3 linked regions of the Saccharomyces cerevisiae S288C genome follow. The gene in region 3 interacts genetically with the main gene of each other region. Each region holds a gene or a part of one and is shown on either strand. Other genes may lie near its edges.

Evidence for each region.
Region 1: mutations in ARN1 (region 3) and PDH1 together harm fitness more than expected from each alone (negative genetic interaction), as found in Saccharomyces cerevisiae (2 studies listed by BioGRID).
Region 2: mutations in ARN1 (region 3) and DFP3 together harm fitness more than expected from each alone (negative genetic interaction), as found in Saccharomyces cerevisiae (2 studies listed by BioGRID).

Annotation. Positions count from the first base shown.
Region 1 is NC_001148.4:556,292-560,498, forward strand, and holds PDH1 (putative 2-methylcitrate dehydratase), read left to right. Parts: upstream 1-2,093; coding exon 2,094-3,644; downstream 3,645-4,207. Other genes in the region: citrate (Si)-synthase CIT3, read left to right, coding at 86-1,546. UniProt on the Saccharomyces cerevisiae protein: Catalyzes the stereospecific dehydration of (2S,3S)-2-methylcitrate (2-MC) to yield the cis isomer of 2-methyl-aconitate.
Region 2 is NC_001135.5:125,418-128,706, reverse strand, and holds DFP3 (DUP240 family protein), read left to right. Parts: upstream 1-1,976; coding exon 1,977-2,696; downstream 2,697-3,289. Other genes in the region: serine/threonine protein kinase SAT4, read right to left, coding at 1-237.
Region 3 is NC_001140.6:18,478-22,657, reverse strand, and holds ARN1 (siderophore transporter), read left to right. Parts: upstream 1-1,686; coding exon 1,687-3,570; downstream 3,571-4,180. Other genes in the region: EFM1 (protein-lysine N-methyltransferase), read right to left, coding at 1-875. UniProt on the Saccharomyces cerevisiae protein: Involved in the transport of siderophore ferrichrome and so has a role in iron homeostasis.

The sequences.
Region 1 (4,207 bases), on a different chromosome or scaffold from region 3:
GCTTGTCAAGCATTCTAATCATAAAAAAAAGATCGTATTTGATCAAGAATTTATACATAGACGCCGCTAAATAATTGAATACAAAATGGTACAAAGGCTTCTACCGGGCGCACATATATGCAGAAGGTCCTTCAATTCGTCTGCAATTATAAAGTCTTCTGCATTGACTCTCAAGGAAGCATTAGAAAACGTGATACCTAAGAAAAGAGATGCTGTGAAGAAATTGAAGGCCTGTTATGGCAGCACGTTTGTCGGACCGATTACCATTTCATCAGTTCTAGGTGGGATGAGAGGTAATCAGTCAATGTTTTGGCAAGGAACATCATTAGATCCCGAACATGGCATTAAATTTCAAGGTTTAACGATTGAAGAATGTCAAAATAGATTACCTAATACAGGTATTGATGGCGATAATTTCCTGCCAGAATCAATGTTATGGCTGTTGATGACAGGTGGTGTGCCAACTTTCCAGCAAGCTGCTTCTTTCAGGAAAGAATTGGCTATTCGTGGAAGGAAATTGCCACATTATACAGAGAAAGTTTTGTCAAGTTTACCCAAAGATATGCACCCTATGACCCAACTTGCAATTGGTTTAGCATCAATGAACAAAGGATCCCTCTTTGCTACAAACTACCAAAAGGGCCTCATAGGAAAGATGGAATTTTGGAAAGATACTCTTGAAGATTCGCTAAATTTAATTGCTTCACTCCCGCTGCTGACTGGGAGAATTTATTCGAACATTACAAATGAGGGACACCCATTAGGTCAATATAGTGAGGAGGTGGATTGGTGTACAAACATATGTTCCCTGCTCGGCATGACAAATGGAACGAACTCTTCTAATACATGCAACCTTACTTCCCAGCAATCCCTGGACTTCATAAACTTGATGCGGTTATATACCGGTATACATGTAGACCATGAAGGTGGTAATGTTTCTGCTCACACCACCCACTTGGTTGGAAGTGCGTTGAGTGACCCGTATCTCAGCTATTCATCTGGAATAATGGGATTAGCGGGTCCTTTGCATGGGTTAGCAGCACAAGAAGTAGTAAGGTTTCTCATAGAGATGAACTCTAATATTTCCAGCATTGCACGAGAACAAGAAATCAAAGATTATCTTTGGAAAATTTTGAATTCAAACCGTGTGATCCCCGGTTATGGGCACGCAGTTTTGCGTAAACCGGATCCTCGATTTACAGCAATGCTTGAATTTGCGCAAAAGAGGCCTATTGAATTTGAGAACGACAAGAACGTTTTGTTGATGCAAAAATTGGCAGAAATAGCGCCTAAGGTTTTGTTGGAACACGGAAAGAGTAAGAATCCATTTCCCAATGTTGACTCTGCATCGGGGATTTTGTTTTATCATTATGGAATCAGGGAATTATTATTCTTTACCGTCATTTTTGGGTGTTCAAGGGCCATGGGACCCTTGACACAACTTGTTTGGGATCGCATTCTAGGTTTACCAATTGAAAGGCCCAAGAGTTTGAACTTGGAGGGTCTGGAAGCACTTACCAAAGCAAGCAATGTTAACAAGTTGTAACGCAGTTCCAATTTACAAGAATGCTTCGTTTGCTATTACAATATTGAAATATAAATAAAATTCCATACAGCATGTCTAATCATAGCTAATTTATACATATTCATCATGAAAACATATAGGGGAAAATATGGTCGGTTAACACACCTATCAAAAAATTATTCAGCAATTCCAATCTCGTTAGTAAAATATATTCTTATTTTTTTTTTTTTTCTCTGATTGTATTATTTCTGGAGTTTTGACTTATTTTTTTACCACATCGCGCTTTTCGTCCCCAATCTCTCTGATATATGATGCTGTCTATAGGTAGCCACTTCCCCGATGTCGGACCTCGGGCCGTTTACAAACTTTATTGAGATGACCTTATTTCTCCACATTCTAGTCATTCAACTTTTACCCTCATATGTTTACCTTCACTAATGTGAAAGCATGACCAAAGAAAGTGTATAAGGTATATAAATCTGCCATAATGTATGTATAACTTATTAGGACTTTCTCAAATAGTATTTTGGTATTTTCTACTGTTCTCTGATGATCGAGAGCAAACAGAATGTTTTTAGCCAAAAATCTAAAAAATAATAAAATCAAGGTATGCTTGCCTAAAAAGAAATTTGCTGCGCTGAGTACAGCGTCTATACAAACTAATGAAAGACCAAATCCAGATAAGGTTTTGAAGGACATCGCGAAATATGTCCATGAAACCCCATTAAAATCATCTTTGGCTCTAGATACAGCACGACTCTGTTTCCTTGATACTCTAGGCTGTGGCTTGGCGGCTTTGAAATTTAAGCAGGCTCAAAATATTATTAAACCAATTGTGCCAGGAACAATAGTTCCCAGTGGAACAAAAATATTGGGCACATCTTACGTTATGGATCCAGTGAAGGGAGCTTTTGCCATTGGTACTCTAATACGTTGGTTAGATTACAATGACTGCTGGTTAGCTGCCGAGTGGGGGCACCCATCAGATAACCTTGGGGGAATTTTAGCTGTCGCGGATCACTTGTCCAGATTAAACAAGGCTACCCACGGAAAGAATGGAAAACAGTTTCTTGTTAAAGACGTATTAGAGGCAATGATTAAAGCGCATGAAATCCAAGGTATTATAGCGCTCGAAAATTCTTTCAATAAAGTAGGTTTAGATCATGTGGTACTCGTGAAAGTAGCAACGGCTGGTGTTGTCTCGAAGATGCTGGGCCTGAGCCAGGAACAAACTATTGAAGCATTGTCACAAGCATTTGTAGACGGTCAATCACTGCGTACTTACCGTCATGCCCCAAATACTGGATCTAGAAAGTCGTGGGCGGCGGGAGATGCAGTTTCGAGGGCTGTAAACTTGGCTTATTTAGTCAAAAATGCTAATGTTGGCACGATACCTTCAGTATTAACAGCTAGAACCTGGGGATTTTATGACGTTTTATTTAAGGGTAAACCTTTTTCATTCCAACAAAGATCAAAATATGATTCCTACGTCATGGAAAACGTTCTGTTCAAGATATCATTTCCTGCCGAATTCCATGCGCAAACTGCTGTAGAAGCTGCTGTAAAAGCATATAGGATTCTTGCCAAACAAGGGAAAACTTTTAAAGATATTAAATCGATCAGAATTAGAACTCAAGAGGCGGCAATGAGGATTATAGATAAATCCGGTCCTCTGTATAATTATGCCGATAGGGATCATTGTATCCAGTACATGATCGCGGTTCCGCTGATTACTGGTAATCTCACAGCTACTGATTATTCGGATGAGGTCGCAAGAAATCCTGAGATCGATAACTTGAGATCGAAAATGTACTGTATCGAAGATACTCATCTCACTCAAAACTATCACGATCCTGATAAAAGGTCGATAGGAAACGCTCTTCTCATAGAGCTGAACGATGGGACGCAGTTGGATGAAATTTTTGTAGAGTACCCTGTTGGTCACAAATTTAGACGAGAGGAAGGAATACCATTACTAATGAATAAATTTCAAAGGCATCTGCGCGAACATTTTGTAGAGAGCCCTGATAAAGTCGACCTTATAATGAAGGTAAGTTCAAAAACAAACTTTTTGAATATGCAAATCGACAAATACATGGATTTGTTTACTGAGGGATGAATGGTTGGCTCTTTAAGAGCGAACGGCATGGTACCTACTTCAATTTTTAAAGACAAAAGGCGCCGTTTCGATAAACAAGAAATCACTTTCAAAACATAATTAAACCAAAGAACATGCGGTTTTCTAATTATGCTGGCTTAATTTTACTGGTATTTATCTACATAATAATAACTATTAAAAAATTAAATAATTGGCTCTATTTATTTTTCTTTCTTCAACTTGCAAGAGTTCGTCAATTCATGGAAAAATACAAAAATAGAAATGCGAATTCTGTGGATCGAACACAGGACCTCCAGATAACTTGACCGAAGTTTTTTCTTCAGTCTGGCGCTCTCCCAACTGAGCTAAATCCGCTCAATTTCTATGCTCTAACCACCTTAGCTAAAAACTCAATACAGGATTAGTTGATAAATGGGTGTTATCAACTCAATCCACAGTGTTGGAATCAGAGTCAGTTATCATCTTTGGGCTAGTATTATTGTAAGTGTTGGAATAAAAATTCTAAAATATCATCCATTTAGTAGTGTTCATATTACTAATATATCTGTTGGAATAAAAATCCA
Region 2 (3,289 bases), on a different chromosome or scaffold from region 3:
ATTAGAAACTACCCTAGGAGTAGCAGTGGTTGGGGTATGTAAACCAAATTTGGCTGATTTAGACGCCGATGGAACGTTTGTGTTTATATTAGAAGGTGGCTGGATATTCGATGAGGCCTTTCCCTGCCTAGATGATCTTGAACCGCTTCTAAAAAGTTGCATAACTTTAGAAGATAGCGCATGTTTCCTTGGAGTTTGCTGAGGAATAGCGGCATTATTATCATTCATACCAGTCATATATTTGAGGGGTAATGTCGAAATAAAATAAAATCTGATTACTTTTTTTTTGATTACAGGGAATAGTAGTCACAATACTTACTACTAGTTAATATCTAGCGGTAAATGGAGAGTAAAAAAAGGTTGAGAGCCTAATATTAGAAAGCTACCTTAAGCTTTCCAGTTTTTATTTGTAACTTAAAAACGCTTAAAGGCTTAGTACAACTTATTGAACAGGACTTTGAAAGTCCAAATTTTATTCGATAATGTTAAAGTGAATAACAACAACCCAGCAATAACAACAACAACAACAACACAACAGGTTATAACGAAACCGACAGGAAATCGTCAAAAAAAAAAAATGATAAAAAATTCTTAAAATCGAAACTCCAAGTAAAGGTCTATATTAGGGTTTAATAAACTTTTGCTAAAAAAAATTGCCGAATATCTCTATAAAGTAGTATATTTTCTTCTCCGTTTCCTCTTCCCTCTTTAAAAGCTGTAATATTATATATACTATTTGTATAGCGGAAAATGCGTGAGATGGCAAGAGCTCGGCCTGTTAACATATTAGCACGGGGAGGCCGATGTTGATTTGATGAAATGACGTGCCAGGTGATTTTTCCATTCGCCATGCCGGGGGTTGAGAAAAAATTTTTTCTCCGTCGGAGATAAAAAAAAAAAAAGAAAAGAAAAATTAACGACCCCAGTGAGGGTTGAACTCACGATCTTGCGATTAACAGTCGCACGCCTTAACCAACTTGGCCATGGAGTCATTTTATCTTGTGTCACTTTTACAGAAAAAGTATTACTAATATATGTTGAAAATTTTCCAACTACCCTTCGAGTATGATTTTACAACTGCGTCAAAGAAACCATGCAAAACAGTTGACTAATATCGCAACTGTTTTTTTTTCTCATTGCCTTTGAAAGAATGGAACACTCCTCACCACGAGGTTCTAAAAACTATACCAACCACAGTTTGGACGTACATCTGAAGATGGCATCCAATAGCAGCGGTATTCATTTGTGCGGGCTGGATTGAAAAAAGCATCACAATTATTGGGGCGTTTATTGTAGTCTTTGAACCGAGATAATCCAGGTGTTAAATATTGGTTGGATATGCATGCAAAATTTTCAGCAAAAACGATGGAAGCAGAACAAACAGTGCTTATCTTTGCTTCTGCTCTTGTGTAAGTCTAAAGGACAATATCTTTGTTATTAAGCACTCTAGCTGCCCACTGTATAAACAGAACTTTTGACAAAAAGTCTAGCCAGCGATGATATAATTTGCCTGCACAAAGAGTTTACTATTAGTAGCACAACTAAGTCATCGAAACGCTTTTAGTGGACAGATCTAAAGTTACAAATATTTAGGTATGCGTAAAAGGGTAATTAACCTAGTATCAAATGAGTCGAAGCCCCGACCGCGCCCAGAAGAAAAGCCATTATCATTTAGGTGACGCCTTGTTCTAAGGCTTAGTTAATAATATTCCTTTCAACCAAACAATGACCTTCCAAGGTGTTCAGTAAGTGGCTCTCATTTTAAGTTAGTTGGGTATTATACGCCTTGTATCCGGGGCTATGCTTAGGTTAAATAAGAATACTGCTTGAATAGCTCAAGTTTACAAAATAATTTAAAAAGAGTTTATGAACTTCAATAAAACTTCGAACCTGAAAATGTAAGTCTGTGTTCTGTTTATATACACCAGTCGGTTGTCTATACCATATCAAGACAAGAAACAAAACTCCGTATCTGCATGCAGCCTCATTTAGACAACAACAGTAATAATGACGATGTCAAATTGGATACATTAGGGGAACAAAATGTGTTATCATCCGCAGAAAATATCACTTTACCTGAAGACACCTTTAAATCATATATGACCTACTTGCTGTACGAGATGGCTCATTACAAACCGATGATATTTTCCTTCTTGGCACTTTCAGTTTCAATTTTAATAGTTGTGATCTTTCATAATGTTAAAGCTTGTGATGTCGTTTTTGGTTTTTCAATTTTCGTCACTTCTATTTTGTTTTTGTCTACGTTGATTCCGTTTAATGTGTATATCTCGGATGAGGGTTTCAGAATTAAGCTTTTGCTGGAAGTTATCACCCACAGGCCAGCGGTAAAGGGAAAAGAATGGAGAGCAATCACAGACAATATGAATCAATATTTACTTGATAATGGTTTATGGAGTACTCGCTATTACTTTTATAGTAGTGAAAGATGCTACAAATTCTTCAGATTTCTTGTGAAAGAAAAACCCCCAGGTGTGAATGTAAATTCATCGGTAAAGGACGCCACAAGTACGCAGATAGATGCACCAGCAAATGAGGCTTCAAATGAGGTAATAAAATGCTTTAGTTTCAGTTCTGACCCAATATTCGAAGCATACTTTGTTAAAGCAGTAGAAGTTGAGAAACAAGCACAACAGGAATATTGGAGAAAGCAATATCCTGACGCCGATATACCATGAAATATAAATCTTGATAATTTTATTTAGCACTTATACTGAGCGATGTACCAAACCGATTCTAAATTCACAATTCATAATGGAACTTAATCGTTTATACAGTATAAACAAGTAGAAGTATTTTGACAGAGATTAATAAATTTGTGCCACACGAAGGGGCTTTCTCACAGCTAATAATATTGTACAAACTAAAGGATAGAATATGCTGTGGTGCAAGTTGGGTGCACATTAACGTATTGTCGTGCATTCCCTATCATTTTTAAGGGAAGGAAATTAATTCTAATGGCTAGTTACTTACTCTCAGGACTCCATAATTAACATGTAGCAACTGAAAAAAGAAATTTTGCTGTGAATGACTTGTGCTCAAGATAAGCTTCTTTTTCTGAAGGTTTGTTTCTTATTGCGAGCACTTTTTTCTGTATATAATGTAACAGTGAAGAGCAGCATCTATATGTTAAAGTGCTTCATGTATGGTTAAGCAGGCTTTGCGGCTAAAAAAAAAGGAATGCTTATTACCCTTTTTTCCATACTTTTGTAGCTACCTAGTTTCTTTCTCGAATGTTTCGCGATTGTTTCCACTGCAATTTCCGCATAAA
Region 3 (4,180 bases):
TAGTTTAACAAACATTTTTCATTAGAAATATTACCATAATTATTAAACAATTCATCCTGTGCACTAAATGTGGTAGTCTGCGACATGAAACAAAGTTCATTTTGTTCATTCATCTCCCATCTTACTGGTACATCGTTTTTATGGTTTAATAAATCTACTATTGGATACAAAAATCCTTCGTTCAGATTGGTGCGGTCTGTACCGGCCCTGCCTAAAATGACACGAGGAAATGCCCTAGAATTAAAGATGCAGTACGACCAAAGATACGCCACGAACGAGTTCCATTCCGAATCTTCTAGTTTACATCCATTGATGTGTGCGCAGAACTGTTCCAACGGCACTACGGCAGAGTCTTTATTCTCCTGGAATAAAGACAAGAACTGCTTATCTTGAGAAGAGTGTTCAATAGATAAAGCTTGGAACAGCATCCTCCACTCCTTTACTAGTTTGTTCAGCGTATCTCTCATAGTTAAGTACACGTCTGTACCATGCAAATTCATGACTTCATCAGTAGACCAAAAATATGGTTGTGGAAGGTGCAAGGGTAGCACATCTAAATATGGTTTGTAAAAGGATTTCAGGTGAACTGCATCGGTGCCAAATTTCAACTTTGACAAGTACAACTGTGTCACGGAATTCAAAAGACTCCTTTCATTAGCAGCCTGGGAAAATTCTGATAAAGCTTGCTGGGAAGTGATCAGCAGAGTTTCGGGTACCCTAATCAAAGCTTGGTCGGGTTTGGGAGAGAATTTTTCGTTTACAAATGCACTAACACCAGCATCCTCTGTAATCCTAAAAGAGATTTTCGGATCGATGAAGGCTCCATTATTTTGAGCCCATTGTAAGCAGTTATCTAGCTCAGTTTGGGTGATCATGCAGAAGTTCGTTAATTAAATGACGAGGTAGCTTCACCAAGCTTGATTCCTTAGTCTTTTTTACTTCCATCATTTCTTCTTTGTTGGAATGGTCAAGTTCAAGTTGAAAAATTTTCTTTTTCATAGTCAACTCATCGCAGGCACATTCGCCTTGAACGAACAACGAGCAGGACTCCAATAGAATAATAGTAATAGATTACAGGCCTATACAATCAAGACAACTATCAAGGTGGGGAGGGTTTCCACCTGTAACTTCCGCTGACTAATGATACATATTATCTGATCGGAAGCCAATGAAAGATCCCCTAAATATCACGCATGTAAGCGACCGCGATGAAGCGTACTGGCAGCTCTATCACGAAGCGATGGAAAAATACACCTGCGAATGAAAATCCATCAACAGAAATGAGAAGACAATTGTATATTATCATTAACGTTCATCTTTAGGACTTGTTCTCTTACGAAATTTGTGTGCCTGTATTTGTTAGAAAGCCACATATGTCTTGGCCTTTTTCACTTCTTTCCTGTTTGGGATTGCAAATTTATCAAAATGCACCCATAAAAGCAGGTGTGATATAACAAGCACATATCGTTAGGAAAATAGTGTCAAAGAGAAAAAAAGGCCAAGCAAATCGGAGTACAGTTTACATGAAGTAATGCAAGATGCATAGAACTGAAGATTTCAGGAATAATTGTATATAGGGGAGGAAACATTCGATAGCTCTCTTTTTGCTTTCGTTCACTATATCTCTTGTTTTCTTTCTTAAAAATATATGGACAGTAGTTCAAGCCACTGCATAGCAACGTACTAATGGAGTCTGTTCACTCTCGCGATCCTGTTAAGGAGGAAAAGAAACATGTCTTCATGGGAATGGAACACGAGTTGAATCCTGAGACTCATAACGATTCCAACTCCGACTCATATGGTCTCCCTCAGTTATCTGAAAAATACAATGCCTTGAGACAGAACAGGAGCCTAATTATCCAGCAGACTGAAATCATTGGCTCTGCTTACAATAAATGGTACTTACAAGCGATTTTACTTTTGAGTGCTTTCATATGTGGCTACGGTTATGGACTGGACGGTAACATCCGTTATATTTACACTGGTTACGCCACATCATCCTATAGTGAGCATTCTCTGCTGTCTACAATCAACGTCATTAATGCTGTGGTCAGTGCCGCTTCGCAAATCATATACGCTAGGTTGTCTGATGTGTTTGGTAGACTATACCTTTTCATTAGTGCTGTCATCCTATATGTTGTGGGTACAATTATTCAATCACAAGCTTATGATGTTCAAAGATACGCTGCAGGTGCCATTTTCTACAATGCTGGCTATGTGGGTGTAATCCTTATTCTTTTGATTATCCTATCCGATTTTTCATCTTTAAAGTGGAGACTGCTGTATCAATTTGTCCCGACTTGGCCTTTTATCATCAACACATGGATTGCTGGTAATATCACTTCCAGAGCCAATCCTGTTGTCAACTGGTCTTGGGATGTAGGTATGTGGGCTTTCATCTTTCCCCTATCATGTGTTCCAATCGTTTTGTGTATGTTGCACATGCAATGGAGGGCCAGAAAGACTCCTGAATGGCACGCTTTGAAGGGCCAGAAGTCCTATTATCAAGAACATGGTTTTATTAAGATCTTAAAGCAATTATTTTGGATGTTAGATGTCGTTGGTGTCCTTTTGATGGGTTGTTCCCTAGGTTGTATCTTGGTCCCACTGACCTTGGCTGGTGGGGTCAAAACTACCTGGAATGATTCAAGATTGATCGGCCCCTTTGTTCTTGGCTTTGTTTTGATCCCTATCTTATGGATTTGGGAATATCGATTCGCTAGAGATCCAATTCTTCCATATAGGCTGGTCAAAGATAGGGCTGTATGGTCTTCTATGGGTATTTCTTTCCTGATTGATTTTATTTACTATATGGCCGCTGATTATTTGTACACGGTTATGATTGTTGCCGTCAATGAATCCGTTAAATCTGCAACCAGAATTGCCACATTATCTTCATTTGTCTCTACTGTGGCCTCTCCATTTTTCGCTTTACTTGTAACAAGATGTACGAGATTGAAACCATTCATAATGTTTGGATGCGCGCTATGGATGGTGGCTATGGGTTTATTGTACCACTTTAGAGGTGGAAGTCAGTCCCATTCAGGTATTATTGGTGCATTATGTGTCTGGGGTGTGGGCACTACTTTGTTCACTTACCCAGTTACCGTCTCTGTACAATCTGCCGTCTCTCATGAAAACATGGCGACAGTTACAGCTTTAAACTATACCCTCTATAGAATTGGTTCTGCTGTCGGTTCCGCAGTTTCCGGTGCCATTTGGACTCAGACTTTGTACAAACAAATTTTGAAGAGAATGGGTGATGTTGCTCTAGCCACAACTGCCTACGAATCTCCATATACTTTCATTGAAACCTATACTTGGGGTACCCCACAAAGGAATGCCTTAATGAACGCTTACAAATACGTTCAAAGATTGGAAACTATCGTGGCTTTAGTATTTTGTGTTCCATTAATTGCATTCTCCTTATGTCTAAGGGATCCTAAATTGACTGATACTGTTGCTGTGGAATACATCGAGGATGGCGAATATGTCGACACGAAAGACAATGATCCAATTTTGGATTGGTTTGAAAAACTTCCATCAAAATTCACTTTTAAACGGGAATAAGTTGATGTTTACGTTGCATGATTGCTTGATATCACTTTCCATGACTATATTGCCCAAAATATACGGTGTCACCTCCTACTTTTTCCTCTCTACAAGACTCTACCATTCTAATGATCATAACCAAGAAAAGAAAAGATCAGAAATGTCTAGTTCTTTGCATATTCCTTTTACCATAACAGTATATGCATATCTACATGTATAGTGCGGCACTACTTAATATTACGTAACAGAGTAATATCTTTACTTCTTTTGTTCTGCCTGTTTATAACATCGATTGGCCAGTTGTCTCAGCACTTGCTTCATAACAAGTGAAAAATTAGAGGCGTTGAATAATTATGTACCTTGACTTTGAAGTCGGTTATCATAAGTGCTTCGAGAAGAGATATAAAGACAAGATAAAGTGTTATGTCAACTATGGTGAAAAAGGAAGGGAAGACAGGCGGTCGCTGAATCTTAAATCCACTCGCCTTTTTTTCTTTGTTTTTCCTTGGCAAGCCTATCCTTCCAGTCGGCTAAGCCCCATTCCATTCAGCTTGTAAAGAGATAGTATGATTTACTTGTAGTCTGGGATGACAAGAGTAGAATACTCGCAGTGATCACGGTTTGCTGC